Linked DNA regions of Drosophila melanogaster. The protein of the gene in region 3 interacts with the protein of the main gene of each other region in a pairwise test. Each region holds a gene or a part of one and is shown on either strand. Other genes may lie near its edges.

Region 1 (4,861 bases), about 17 Mb from region 3:
AAGAGGTTGAAACGTTCGCCGCCCACTTGGCGCTCCTCGAAATGTTCGCACAGGCCGAGTACATTGGGCTTAATGTCGTTGGCCGTCGTCATTACGGCTCCACCGCAAGCCTTCATGGTGCGCTTAAGATCTTCTTCGGGAACGCGGCCGGCGCAGAATATGTCGCGGTCGGCGAAATACTGTGTGGCCACATCACCGATGGGCAGCTTGGAGAGGACAACATTGGCGCCGGACTCGTGGATCTTAGCCAGCTTGTTGTAGAGGATCTGCCACTCGGCGTCGACCACCTTTTGGTACTCCTTGACGTTGTCTACGCGGATCTCGGCGTTATCGCGCTCAGCCTTAAGCTCCAATTCGATGTTGAGCAGGGCAATTTTGCAGTTGTCATAGGATTTGGGGGCCATTTCAAAGCCGGCATAGGAAAAGGTCTTCTTGAAGGCCACACCCGACACTAGCTGTGACTCCTCCAGCGAGCCACCGGTCACCTTCTTAATTCCAATCATGTTGAGGGGCAGCAGCTCATCCAGGGAGAGCACAGCATCGACTACAATGCGGGAGAAGAAGTCCTTCTGCTGGTGAATCAACTTGGAGGACATGGCAGTGGCTGCGCACTTCTCAAGGAGAGCACGCTGCTGGTCCTTGGACTGTTCGACAATTTGGACGGCCATTTCGTTGATCTTTTCCATGCAGAGCTGCAGGGCCTTGCGGATGGCCTTAATGATGACTCGTGGGTGCACTCCCTCCTCCACGAAGGGTTTCACCTGCTTAAGGAACTCGCCGGCCAGCAGAACCACGGACGTGGTGCCGTCACCCACCTGAAGGAGAAGTCGAATCAAAGCTTTAGCAGTGTCACGTGCGTCTCAGGGGTGCCAATCACTTACCTCGGCGTCTTGTGACTTGGCAATGTCCACCAGGGTCTTGGCCGCCGGGTGGATGATCTCCAGCAGCTTCATGATGGTGGCTCCATCGTTGGAAATCGTCGCCTTGCCGTGGGCATCCACAATCAGCTTGTCCATGCCGCGGGGACCCAGAGTGGTCCGCACTGCGTCCACGATCGACTGGCAGGCATTGATGTTGGACACCAGTTGCGGCTTGCCCTGCGACGAGTCAGTGCCTTCTTTGAGGAGCACGATTTGCGGTTGCTGCGGATCATACGGATATAAGGCGAATATATAGTAAAAGTCTCCAATTAGTCAGCAGATGTCGTCGGCTTGCGAGAAGCTTCTTTGCAGGTTATGTTTACAATCTCATGCCGCTCGCGGACGAGTCCATGATTGGGATTCACTTGGTTAGCCTCGGATTATTTCCAGCCGGACTTACCATATTTATGTGATGGGGTTGGCCTTTAGCACGTATTACAGTTTAAAACAATAAAGTTCCTAGCAGACAGGCGGCAACTTGCTTTTCGTTCACGTTTTCCGCGATGAGTAATGGGCCAATCGATTAATCGTTGTTATTTTGTATTTAATCGATGCTTGCAGCCAGTGTGAACGTTTGGGGACTTAGTCGCACTTTACAATGAAATTTGAAATCCTAACTCATAAAAAACTATCTATTTATTTCTATCTTGCGATTTTTTAACTTTATGGTACAAAGCTAGTTTCCACACTTTTTGATGAACATTTTAAACTAATATGATATGCAGCTGGTAGTTGTTATCGAAAAAGTTATCGATGGCTCCATGACGTCACTCTTGACCGGCGAGCGGTTTTTTGAAATTGCTCCCAACTTCAAATATAGATTTGTGATTCCTTCTATTTATATAAATTTGGCGATGCACGCACGCATGTCGCTTATTCCATTTTAGAAAGTGCGCCGCATCTTCAGTTTGTTCCTACCGCTCAACTTGAGTGAGTTGTGCACCGAGCAGCAATTAAATGAAAAATAGAAGAGTCATTTGAAAGGCCAAAACGCCAGAACATTCAACCGCAAATAGGTTTAAATGAAAGAAAGCATTCTAAATCTAATTCGGTCATGTGGAATTGGAATTTTAGTTGCCCAAGACTCCTCTTAACGACGACATCGAACCACAAGGGATGCCAATGGATACTAACCGGATACTAGACAATTGCCGAGTGATTATGAAACAAATCAGGATGCTGAACCGACTATGAAAAATGCAAATAGTGAGTAAGAAAAAGAAAAGTGAAGTGGGGCTCCCACACGATAAGGCACTCAAATCAAAGTGCAAAGTTTGTTCCCCTTTTGTGCTTTTATTTAGATTTCCCCTGTGTTGACTGACTGGAATCGGAATGTGTTCTAATTGTGTCCATCATTCATCGCGTCGTTAAGGCGATTGTCAAATTTGTATGTGATTTGTGAAGATTCTTCAGCTGTTGGGGATTATAGACATAAAGATATTCATACGCAATACGTTTGGCATTTAAATCGAAATTAAAAGTATGAAATTTTAATTGCCATAAAAAGACTATAAAAAAGTTGAGCAACTTAAATGTTTTGCAAGTATGTTTATTACCAAATTTATTTACTTCTGGTCTAAACATATAATAATAGATGCACGTTTCAACAGCTTTAATGTCACGTCTTCAGATTGCTCTTAAACTTAAACTAGCACAAATGCTTTGTGCTGATATATGTTTGAGCAACGCGCCTTAATCATGCGGAAGTACTTATAACAATGTTTACACAGATATAACAATTTAACTGAATTTTATCATTACTTTATCAAACTTATACCGAATTAATATCCAATCAACCTGAAGTTCCGATATCTTTTATTTCACTGTTTGTTATTTTGACCAATTTCGTGGCGGGTTGTGTGCATATTTTGGTTATTAATAAACACGCGACTGGTTTTTTTTTGTTATGAAGTCGGGAACCGGGAGGAAAACATCTTCGGCTTTCAATAGATGGGCTCTTCCGGCTTCACGTCGGCCATTCTTCGGGGCACGCACACAGACCCGAGCTTTGCCACCCCATAACCCCAAGAAGTGCATGAATAAATGGCAAAGCTCCTTTTAATTAAATGGAAATGGAGGCAAATGTGAAAGAGCTTGCGAAAGCTCGAGAGGCCGAGTTAGTCAATCGGTGTCCGGCCGAAACGAAAGATCTCTGCTATCGCCGAGCAACGAAATTTACCTAGTATAGAACACTTCTTTTAATTTACAATTCAAATTGATTGCAACTAATTAGGATACTCCCCAAACGAACCGAACATAACTCACTTCTATTCCGACGAACTTGTGTAACTTAATTGATATAATTTCGAACTTCCTGTACGAACTGTGTGAATATATTTGAACAAAAATATATCATACTTTGCTTAACAATTGTCGAAGAAGTGCTCCACATACCGACGATATTCTACTTGGTCTGTGCGCGAAAAAAGTTGATTGAAAATTAACGTATTGACGTCATTACACTGCAAGAAACAGTGGCAAGCAGGCAGTAAATAAACTGTTTACATTACAACATCGTCGGTCGACTTAGTGAGTGAGTGAGTGAGTGAATAAACATATACAGAAGTTTGAGGCACACCAACTGTTGGTCTACGACGCCCAAGGATTTCAGAGCTAATGGTGCGTATACGTGATCTTCGGTGAATCAGCCGAAAGAGCCGCAGACTGTACACTCGACGGCTGACCGACTCATCGTTTGGCAATATTTTCAAATTGATATATGACTGAAAATATACATACTTAAAGAGCAAAAAAGAGACTTTCATCTGCCCATGTGGATGGCTGTGGATGTGGATGGCAATCGAGTGGGTGGCTTTGCTCGTATAAAACCAATCCCAACCAAGCCGGTCACACCGAGGCTGTGATGTCACCATGGCGTGTATGTCGACCCCAAAAACACTTTATTATCGAGTGGACTGGGGGCGGTTTTAAATTTAATTAAATGAAATGCAACATGAGAGCCATCATTAGCCCCAGTCCTTCAGTTTATAGAAAAGCCACAAAATAAATATTACATACATTTGGAACGAACACCTCTTTTAGGGTAGTTTTTCCACTAACAGTTCGGTTTTGAAATACGTCCAAGAGTCAATATCATAAAGTTTACTAATAATTACTTATAATTTATGTTGATAACCAGAAAGTAATAAACTTGGGCACCACTCACTTAAGATCCCTCCCTATTAACACCTAGTGTATCGAGCTGGAAAAACAAATCAAATTCCAATTAGGCGCCAGAAGGTTGCTAAGTACACAAATCTGTCGCTCTACATGTGTATATAGATCGTGGCCTTGATAAAGATGATCGGCCAGAAATCTCGGAGAGCATTCTATGAACATATGAACTGTGGGCCTACTCGTGTGTGCACCTCATACAGTATATATATAGATGCTTTGTTATAATCTTTGGGGCGGATGTGGGAGCAGTGCAAAGAATTCTGTTTCTGTAGAACAAAAAAAGTAATGAAAAGCGGTTTTATTGCGTGTAAAGCGCCCCAGTGGGGAACCTCACAAAACAAAAAAAACACATGTACATATGAATGTACGTACATATTCTGTTCTATTCCAAAAGGCGCGCCACATGACGTCATTAAGAAAAGTCATTCCGGACCAGTTTATTTGGTAAGCCCAACGCAATTGGCGTTGTAAACTATTTCCCAGTCCCAGGGTGCCTATATGTTTCGTTTTTCATTCATATGTGTGGCCCGACCCGATGTGGCGAAATGAAGGAAAAAGCTTTTCCGCTGAAATCAATAATGGGGGAAACTTGTTGATTAGTTCAACCCAGTGAAGAAAAGCGTTGAAGAGTCTACGGCTAAACAGAAGCCATTGAAATGCTGACAGACAAAGGGGAATCTTTGCGATTCTGAAGAAACAACCTCCATGCGGGCAAAGACTCGGAATTCTGTATACTGTGTAATTTTTCAAGGCATAATTTGTAA
Region 2 (6,841 bases), on a different chromosome or scaffold from region 3:
GGAGCATTTGTGCCCGAACAGCAGCAGTATGCGCTGGCGGAGATTACGTGCGCCTGGGTGGAGCGTAAAATGTGCGATCTAAAGCACCTGCTGCGCGACTTTGGAGCCGAATTTGGATCGCTGAGCGACATGGAAAGGCAGCTGCTGGCGGTGATGCATGCAGAACTGGCCCGAAGCTACTAGATTTTAGACCTAAGATCGTACTGTACATTATTTACTACTGGATCATTACCACTGAATGAGAATGACACATGCAACTATCGCTTAAGTGTAACCAAGTCTACCAACTAACCTTTGAACGTGCCTACACGCATAAAAATTGAATTAAATTAACAAACGAATGACCAGGTGAATGCAGCAATAAACAGAAGGTGCGAAGCGCAATGAAATGTAATAGGATTTGTGATTTGTACAATAAATGAAGAGGAATGCGCATGATAGTGCGAAGATAAAGATGACTAACAAACCACCAACTTGTTTCTAATCAATCCAACAGATGTTCTATGAAGCCCCCTATTAATAGTAATGCAATATTTTGGTCATTTAATTTGTTTATTTTACCTTTGTCAAGCAACTTCTGTTTTTTGTTTCTTAGCAATTTCTCAATTAAGTTAGCTAATTAATGCGACACTCTTCGGGTGCCACAACTGATATTCCGAATCGAATTTCGTGATTTCTTTGTGTTTGCTTACAAAACTTTTTTTTTTTTTGTTTTTCGCTGGAGTTTACAATTCCAATTTGTTAAATATCCTATAATATCTGTTTGTTTATGTAATTTGTAAATTTTCATATATGTATGCATGTACGTTTCATGTAATACCCATTAATCCTTCCTAAGCCTGTTACAATTTCCATTTACTTTGCATTGTGTTTTAAATCGAATCGAAGAATATTTAATTGTCTTGTTCGAATCCGCGAGCAACTAAATCACGGTTCCGATTTGGGAGGGCAGTTTAACATCGTTTCTCACACAATTTGCTGCGACTACTATTCGCTTAATCATTCATACGTCTGTTGTTGTAGTTTAGATTTTTTAATTTTTAAATATATAGTTAAGGCTTAAATAAATTACAAAAAAATAAAGTACACTTTTCATTTTTTATATATATGTTTACATGAAACCTAGCGAAGAATTAAACGAAATTATATAAGCGCAAGATCACAAGCAGTTTTGTATATAGTTGGTTGGTTGTATTTATAAGTTATAGTTCTTTCTGCCTGTCCACTTCGTAATTGTATATATTTATAATTTTATAACTTTAATTCGACACGTAAAAAGAAAAAATTCAGCTAAAATTTGTGTGTTCCTGTTGAGTTGTCAACGGTTGTGTTACGCATGGTTGTGATTGGATAGGTTTGGATTGGGTGTTCGGTTCGTTCTAGTTTTATTGTTGATTATTTTACTGGTTGGCCGATCGAATTGTGACTTCACTATAGCGTAGAGTAAACGCAAAACTAATTTCGCACAGAATGGATTGCAGCGAACGGGCAGCCCAATAGCCGGATGTCGCCCGCCGCCTATTGAAGAGAAGGGATAGCGGTCTGAATGTCCTTTCGGTTGAGGGATGCGTTTGGTTGTGTGTTTGGGTGTTTTGGATGCGCGACTGTGTGTGTGCGAGTGTGTGGCCGTTGGCAGCTATCTATCCACTGGATATGGGATATATCTACTTTCCCGCCTTGGCCTTCTTCTCGTTCTCGGAGGTGATCTTGTTCTTCAGATGATCCTTGTAGTCCAGAATGCCGCCCTTCCACTTGGTTACCGTCTCCTTTTCGCATACCCAAATCTCCTCAGCCACCTGGAAACAAAAGAATGCGCGATTACAAACGTGATAACTATTCGTGAAGGAAAAGTTAGCTTACCTGATTAATCAGACGGAAATCGTGACTAACTAGCACCATGCCGCCATCGAAATCGTTGATCGCATCCGCGAGCGCATCGATTGTCTCCATGTCCAAGTGATTGGTGGGTTCGTCAAGTAGCAGAAGATGGGGCACCTGCCAGGCGAGCCAGGCGAACACCACGCGGCACCGCTGGCCATCGGAGAGCTGGCGAATCGGACACACCTGCTGGCGACCAGTGAGGCCGTAGCGACCAATAATCTTGCGCATCTCCTCCTTCTCCTTGACGTCAGGGAAGGCACGCATCATGTACTCTAGCGGACTGGCATCCAAATCGAGCAGCTCGTGCAGATGCTGGTGGTAGCGGGCGATGCGCAGATGGGAGTTCTTGCGGATCATGCCGGAGGTGGGCACCAGATCGCCATAAAGCAGCTTCAGCAACGTGGACTTGCCAGCTCCGTTGGGTCCAACCAAAGCGAGACGTGTGTCTAGATCAATTCCGAACTCCAGATTTTTGTAGATCCACGGTGTCTCATCGTTGTATCGGAAATTCACGTTCTACGGCATACATTTCATTAGTTAGAAACCTTTAACCATTACCAAATCATTTAAATAAAAAACCAACCTGAACCATAATCACGGGTGGCGGCACCTTGCCGCACGATGGGAAGTAAAAGTTGAGCACCTTATCGTCGGACACCTTCTCTGTGAGTCCCTGAGCAACCATCTTGGCCAGCGTCTTCTCCTTGGACTGCGCCTGTCGCGCCAACTTGGCGGAACCGTGACCGAATCGAGCAATGTAGTTCTTCATGTGCGAAATCTGGTCCTGTTCCCAGTTGTACTGCTTCATCTGGTTTTCCAGCAGTTCCATGCGTGTGCGCACAAAGGCCTCATAGTTACCCGTATAGTACTTGAGTCGCTTGCCCGTCAGGTGAATGATGTTTGTGCAGACACCGTTGAGGAAATCCTGCGAGTGCGAGATGAGCACCAGGATTCGCTTGTATGTCTTAAGCTCCTCCTCCAGCCACACACAGGCGTCCAAATCCAAGTGATTCGTCGGCTCGTCCAGCAACAGCAGATGGGGCTTCACAAACAGCGCGCGGGCCAAGGCGATACGCATACGCCAACCACCTGGAGGGCAGGGGAAATATAACAAATTCGTTACACTTGACGAAAGAATTCGTGCACAAGGAGAGTTCTACACACCTGAGAAGTCCTTGGCCTGTTTCTGTTGCATGGCCTTGTCGAAGCCAAGACCGTGAAGGATGCGGGCCGCCTTGACCTCTGCCAGATCGGCGGACATATCGTCCAGCCGCTCGTAGATGTCGATCAGCTGCTCCTGAGCATCATCTTCCTCGCTCATGGCCAGCTCTTCGGCCAGCTTCTCTAGCTTAATGCGCTCCTCATCCACCTCCATGACGCACTGCAGCGCACTCTTTGAACTGGCCGGGATTTCGCGCGTCAAGTGGAAGATGTCGATGTGCGGCGGTACCGGCACCTCCCTGCCGCCAAGCACGGCCAGCAGCGAGGACTTACCGCATCCGTTCAGGCCAATCAGACCGTAGCGACGCCCGCAATTCAACTCCAGCATGGTGTCCTGCAGCAGCTCGGAGCCAAAGAACGTGATCGAAAAGTTGGCGATCTTGACGTCACGGGAACGCGGATGCACCGCCAGCGATCCGGTGCAGGATCGGGCCTCCGCACTGATCCGGGCCTCCTCCTCCAGCTTGGCGCACAGCTTCTCCTCCTCGGTCAGTTCGCGTTCCGGGACACCATTGGCCTTCTTGGTGGAGGGTATCTGTTGGATCTTCTTGTTGCGCGCATCCTTCTTCTTCTGCGCCTCCCGTTTCTTCGCGGCGGATGACATTATTCCGGCTGCAAATTTACGAAATCGGTATCTTATTTAGGGGGATTTTGTTGTGAGTGTTATTCAGTCGTTGCCAGTAATGACAGTATGATCAAACTATTTTTTTTTTTAGTTCTATATTTTTTGAAAATGTTTTATTTTTAAGTAGTAGTCCCTGGAAAGGGTTACACATTTCCCACAAGGTCGTAGAACCGGAAAAGGTTTCAAGTTATGTTGTGGTTGATTGCCTTATCTACGAAAGCCAGACACAAGATCGTCATTTTTTTCGTTTTGATTACCTTACCGATTCAGTATTCCCGATCTAATCGTTTAAACGTGTTTACACCAATTTTAGGATTTTTTTTAAATAAATAAATAAAGCTGAAAATCTAAACCCTTTCAATATCGATTCGCCGTTAGCTAGTGGAAATAAATGCAGCTTTGCCATTCGCACTTAGACATTAAAAATTTTATAGTCAAGTACAAGATATCGATTGAAAATTGTTTGCTTTGCACACTCAAAAGTTCTATTGTTCTTTGTTTGTTTCCCTTTGTGAGCTACCTAAAGAAGTCCACATTGCCTAGTTTTGAAGTCATAAATCAAACAAAGTGGTACTTGTTGTCAACATATCCTAATAAATTATAAAATTATCGTATTTATATAAAATACATTTGATGGACATTTTGCAGATCCTTGGAAGCATTGTGCCCGGTCTTTTCCCGCCATTATTTCTATGGGCAGCACAGTTCAATTAACAGGATCACGTTCAAGGCCACCTGGAATTCGCTCTCTGTCTCTTTACCTCCCTTGCTCACCACCCACACTTGCATACACATAGATCACGTGTAACCAACTGTTTCAACAAAGAACAAATAAAATCTGAACTCAATTTTAAAATTAGACAGCGTCAGCAAAAACTCAAAAATTTCCACTGTGCTGTCTGCGCTCCACTGTGCCGCATTCTGCCTCCCTCACACGCGCTCTCCCTCTCTTTCTCTGTTGCCGAGGGGCATATTTCTTCCTCTTCTTCGTACGGCCGGGATGTCTGAATGGGATGCATGATTCACTGGGACACACTGTTCACAATGGAGCCCATTGATGGCAGTTGGAAGTTGCAGGAAACGCGGAAAAACTGCATTGCACGATCTGCTGTCACCATCAATTGCCCCCACCTCCATCGCACCCACACACACCTGGCCGATGTTACAGCACGCACACACGGACACAAACACAGGCAAAGACACACAGTCAGGCAGTCGCAGAAATGGTAAAATTGCATGTGTGTTGCGCTGCGCACATTATTGAATTTTCCACGGCGAGATGACGACGACGACGGTGTGCAATTACTCACCTTGGCGTCGATTGGACTTGACTGACAATCAAGGATGATGGGCGAGAGCAGTGCAAAGGAGTGTCCTTTGAAGTTCGCGAAGGATAACGGTACGGCGACGTCTACGGTAACGGAACGTAACGGAACAGATCGGTTCGGTTCGGATCTCGCACACACACACGCACGCACGGAGCAGCTGCTGAAAAGTGCCTGCTGCCTGTTACCGTTTTCGGTAGAAAAAGAGAGAGACGACTGAACGGAACAGAACGGGAGAAAGGCTCCACGTGGTGGCGATGGCGTTTGGCACGGAACCCGCGAAGCGGGAGAGGATTCGGTCGCCAATGCGTTAAGGTCACACTGGCACACGGGCGAGGGGCACACTGGCAGGGCCAGCGGATCAGCTAGTATCGCTACGATTCAAGTCTTAAATAATTTGTAAAATGAAAGAAACATATAATATTTAATAGCATAAATAAGTTTAATTTCATAAAAGCAATAGTTTTGATTCGCTCAAAGCTGAATGCATTATATATTTCTATGTAATATAATATTGATATGCTGTATTCAGTACAAAGAAATTGAGACACTGAGACAATTTCATAAAAATTTGAAATACTTGTCAAACTTATTCTTTTAAGTGTTTCCAAAATATCTATAAATATTAAATAGCTTGAAGTGAACGTTAGAATATTTGTTTTGGACACTAAACGATATATCAGCAGATAACGCCTTCGAAATTCGGTCACGTCCAAGTCCCGCATCGTCTGGCCTCACTAACCAAGTGTAAACAAAAGTTGTGTTGTGAAGTTGTTTTCCTTTGGTCCAAAAAGGAATTGGTCATGTCGAAGTTGAGCGACACTAAGATCCCGATCACGGAGTTCCTGGAGGCATACCGTCGCCAGCCGTGCCTCTACAACACACTGCTGGACTCGTACAAGAATCGTGTGTCCCGGGAGGAGGCCTACGGAGCGATCATCCGGTCCCTGAAGATACCCCAACTGACAGTGTCGGACATAAAGCTAAAGATCAAGAGCGTGCGTACCGTGTACTCTAAGGAGCTGCGCATCTGGATGCGTGAGAAGGAGCTGGGCAGGACCTACGAACCAAAGTTGTTTTGGTTTAGGTTGGCCGACTCCTTTCTACGCTCCGTTTCCCTCTCCCACTGCAAAAGGGTAGGATTTCACGATGTTCTTATGTCAATGTTAACCTCTGACCCACCACCAGCAGGGAAAAAATAACAGTTCCAGTGCTCAATTAACGACGATCAAATCGGATGAGACGAGCAAGCTTCTTTGCACTGCCGCCGCAGATATCACTATGAGCGAGGATGCGCTAGAGGAAGAGGATGCAGAGGTAAATGGCGAGCCGGAGGAGTGTCCTTTGGAGGAAAGCAGGCCAACAGCAAGCATCTGCAAAGATGATTCCACGCTCTGCCTGGCGGATCAACCACAGCAGGAGCACTATTCTCAGGGGTGCAGCAGCTCCCAGCAGCTTCCTCACACGATGGCACAACGAAAATCAAAGTACATTACAAGTCTGGACTCGGCCGGAGAGGATGATCTTATTATATTCGGCCAGAGCATCGCCTCTCAGCTGCGAACCATTCCGGATTCATATTCTCGGTCCGTGGCTAAGCTGCGTATCCAGCAGGTGCTGTTCGAGGCTGAAACCGGGCAGTTTCAGAGCACCGAGGTCAATAGCACGCAACTCCAGAATACCTTTTAAACCATAAGTCTAAATTTAAACACTGTGCTCAGTTCTGGCAAAATCCCCAAAAATATGCCACCCTGGCCTAATTTCCAGGGGATATTTATCAACCCGTTTG
Region 3 (3,033 bases):
TCGATGCTGCCCACCTCCTCGAAGTAGTACGGCTCCTCCCACAACTTGATATCACGCTCCCGCAGACGAGCTCGCAGCTTAATGAATATATTGTTTATCTGGGACATGTTTCGTGCTGTCGTGCCCGAATCGAACTAAATAATTTCTAAATTTATGACGAACATTTTCAACTCTGACAGTGCTCTTTCAGTGTTACCTTAACATCTGTTTTTGCTAAATGCTAAAAAATGCTAAATTATTATAAATTCAGAGACGTAAGTTAAATCCCTTTAATTGCAATTTATAATTAATTACAATTAATTTTCCATATCAGTATAAAGCTGTTCAAGAACCCTCTCTAGATACCGATTGTATTTATTAACGAATCTTAATCGAATCGCTTCAGTTCGGCTCATAGTTGGAAATTGAAGTTATCTTATCATAATGAAACAAAATTTATTTTCAATCAAATCACTATATTATTGTTCATAGGTTGTTGGGAACAAAGGCTCGAGAATTGAAATCTAATCTGCTGTAAGCTTAAGAGTTTTTTATTTTTTAATAATAATATATTTACATAGACTCGATGCAGACATCAATGTTGGGCAGAAAAGAGTTAAAGGACGCTGTAACTTTATTGGTGGCATTTACGAAGCAGGAACTGGTATCGGCTGGCAATTTGGCAATCAGTTTTAGGGTTTTATTGATCTTTCGGGTCAGCCTCATGGATGCCTTGAACAATTTCCAGAAGCATTTGGCCGAGTTTTTGATGGACGAGCCCACGGACTTATCCGTGGCACAAAGTTTCGAATGCAGATGCAAAATATCGTCGCAGATTTTGATAATCTCCTTAACGGAGTCCACAATCTTGGCCACATCCTTGGGAATGGCAGTGCCACAGGCATCAATAGCATCCACATAGCTGGTGCATGAACTAAGGATGTTTGTCACCTCCTTGATAATACAGTTGGTGCCTCGAACCGTTTTCAATGCCTTGCGAAGGATTTTAAGGCATGTTCTAATAAAGCCCTGTGCCTCCACATCCATGTAGTCAGTGTCATTGTCCAGTTCATCCAGCAACTGCTCCAATTCCGATTCAAAGTCGAAATCATAGTCGAAGTTCTCGTTCTCCAGCAATTCTATTGCATTGGCCTGAAACAAAGAAATATTTATTATATTTAAGTTAATTTTTTTTTAATTGGCAAATCTTACCCGCGTGGTCAGCAGACAGGTGGCCGAAACCAGAACCAAAAGGCAAACGGTGATGGCTTTCATTTTACTGTCCAATTAATAATATTTTCTCGGCCAGTAGTGAAGATCAGTTTATATACCCGCTGAAAACTACGTCTTATCAGAAATTAATCGAATTGCCCACTCCAACTATCTAATACCTTTTTTTTATACGGCTATCATCTAGAAATGTGTAATCAATCTACCTACCTCAAAAGTACTTATATGTATCTATCTATCAGCACTTATCAGCCACTTAAGATACTTAAAATATACATTTTCGATCGGTTAATTTTCATATTGCTCAATTGAAGTGTTTTAAATGAATACAAATCTGAAATGATTAATTAATTTTCCCATTTAAATGCAAACGAAATGTACGCTCTAAAAATGTCGAATATTTTTCTTGTGGCAATTATCACACAATATCCGTTGATGTCAGTGCGAAATTCACTTGGGCACCCTTAAGAATCGAGGCTCAGAACGAATTAAAAGCCATAAACCGCAGACAAAGAGGAAAAGAACCACAATTGAATGGTGGCTGCCACCAGATTTTCCGGGCACAATAGACGGCAAAAGGAAAAAAATTTGTTGCCATTGTCAGCTTAACGCGCTCGGTTCACTTTGTTCGGGTTATAAATGGTAACGTGTGGTTAAGGGTTAATAACTCCCACTAGGGGTGTGTGGAAAATAAGACACTGCCACCAGGTCCAAGACATTTCCAACATACAAAAGAAAGTTTCCGGCTACCCGCGACAACAGCAAGTGTGGCTGCTAATGAAAAGTGTCGTAAAAGTCTGTAGTAATATCGTTTGTAAGGGTGTTCGGGTGGTCTGTCATTAGGTTAGCTGGGGTCTTTCCAATTTTCCCGGGATGGGATGGCAATATCTCTCCGGGTAATAAAGTAGCTGACTGAGTTCTTTAGGGTCTTTATTTCGTGTCGATTGCGCATCCTTAATTTGTTTTTCCGGAATGGCTTATTTGCTCGGAAAATGCGTTTGTTGAAGTAAGCATCTTAAATCCGCAGATGATTCATTTGGAAAATGGTTGCTGATTTAATAAATATAGTAAATAGAAAAGTAAGCTCTACCTTCTTGAAAGTAGAAGAATAACTAGTTTGTCGTAAATTATTATTCCGAGAAGCTCAGCCTTTCTTTTATACAATTAGAACCGCCCGCCCGGAACTTCACATCCTTCCTTTCCGTTTTCCTGTTCGTAGCCGTCGTCTCCATCGCATCTGCACTTGGCATAAGTTAAATGTCGAGTAAATGTGGCTGACAACCATGATGATGCATCGTAGCCTGCATGCGGCACTTTTTAAGATCCTTGTCCTGTCCTTTTTGTGTCCTGTGTCCTGAGTCCTGAGTCCTGCGTCCTGGGCATGCAGCGTGTATGAAATCAATGACATGTTGTCGGCAAACTTTTCTCGGCACTAAGTGAGTTTTATCCCCCCCTCGGGGCATTAGACTAATATGAACTGATTTACCATCCCCGGCCAAGTTTCGACCAAAAAGTTGACAAGTGACAAGTCACATTGTTGTACATTAAATTAATGAAATCATTCCGCAAGTTTTACAGGTCATGGCCGTGCTCATTGCTCTTCATCTTCGATTACGGGAAACTTGAAGTGTCTGTCCGGATCTGCGGCTCATAAATATTGAGCACATTATGTCAGGAGCAGACAAAAAAAAAAAACAAAGAGAAAAGCAACCGGGGGGCGGAAGGATGCGGGCCTGCAGTCAATTGTTGGTCATCAATCTTTTAAACAAATGCGGTTCAATGGCAGTGACAGCAGCCAAGAGGGTTGAAATGTAATGAAGAAAA

Evidence for each region.
Region 1: the proteins of CG5107 (region 3) and Pif1A interact in a two-hybrid assay, tested with the Drosophila melanogaster proteins (one large-scale study listed by BioGRID).
Region 2: the proteins of CG5107 (region 3) and CG9281 interact in a two-hybrid assay, tested with the Drosophila melanogaster proteins (one large-scale study listed by BioGRID).

What each region holds. Positions count from the first base shown.
Region 1 is NT_033777.3:8,798,140-8,803,000, reverse strand, and holds the start of Pif1A (PFTAIRE-interacting factor 1A), read left to right. Parts: upstream 1-1,824; 5' UTR 1,825-2,126; intron 2,127-2,221; 5' UTR 2,222-2,307; intron 2,308-3,056; exon of another isoform or gene 3,057-3,539; intron 3,540-4,861. Other genes in the region: CCT7 (chaperonin containing TCP1 subunit 7), read right to left, coding at 1-815, 882-1,142, 1,321-1,323.
Region 2 is NC_004354.4:15,705,269-15,712,109, forward strand, and holds CG9281 (uncharacterized protein), read right to left. Parts: upstream 5,272-6,841; 5' UTR 5,038-5,271; intron 3,777-5,037; exon of another isoform or gene 3,715-3,776; 5' UTR 3,707-3,714; coding exon 3,046-3,706; intron 2,971-3,045; coding exon 2,465-2,970; intron 2,398-2,464; coding exon 1,861-2,397; intron 1,797-1,860; coding exon 1,665-1,796; 3' UTR 538-1,664; downstream 1-537. Other genes in the region: Hap40 (Huntingtin-associated protein 40 kDa), read left to right, coding at 1-183; CG15601 (uncharacterized protein), read left to right, coding at 5,856-6,188, 6,241-6,741.
Region 3 is NT_033777.3:25,503,438-25,506,470, reverse strand, and holds CG5107 (uncharacterized protein), read right to left. Parts: upstream 1,281-3,033; 5' UTR 1,255-1,280; coding exon 1,192-1,254; intron 1,132-1,191; coding exon 553-1,131; 3' UTR 540-552; downstream 1-539. Other genes in the region: CG5111 (uncharacterized protein), read right to left, coding at 1-107.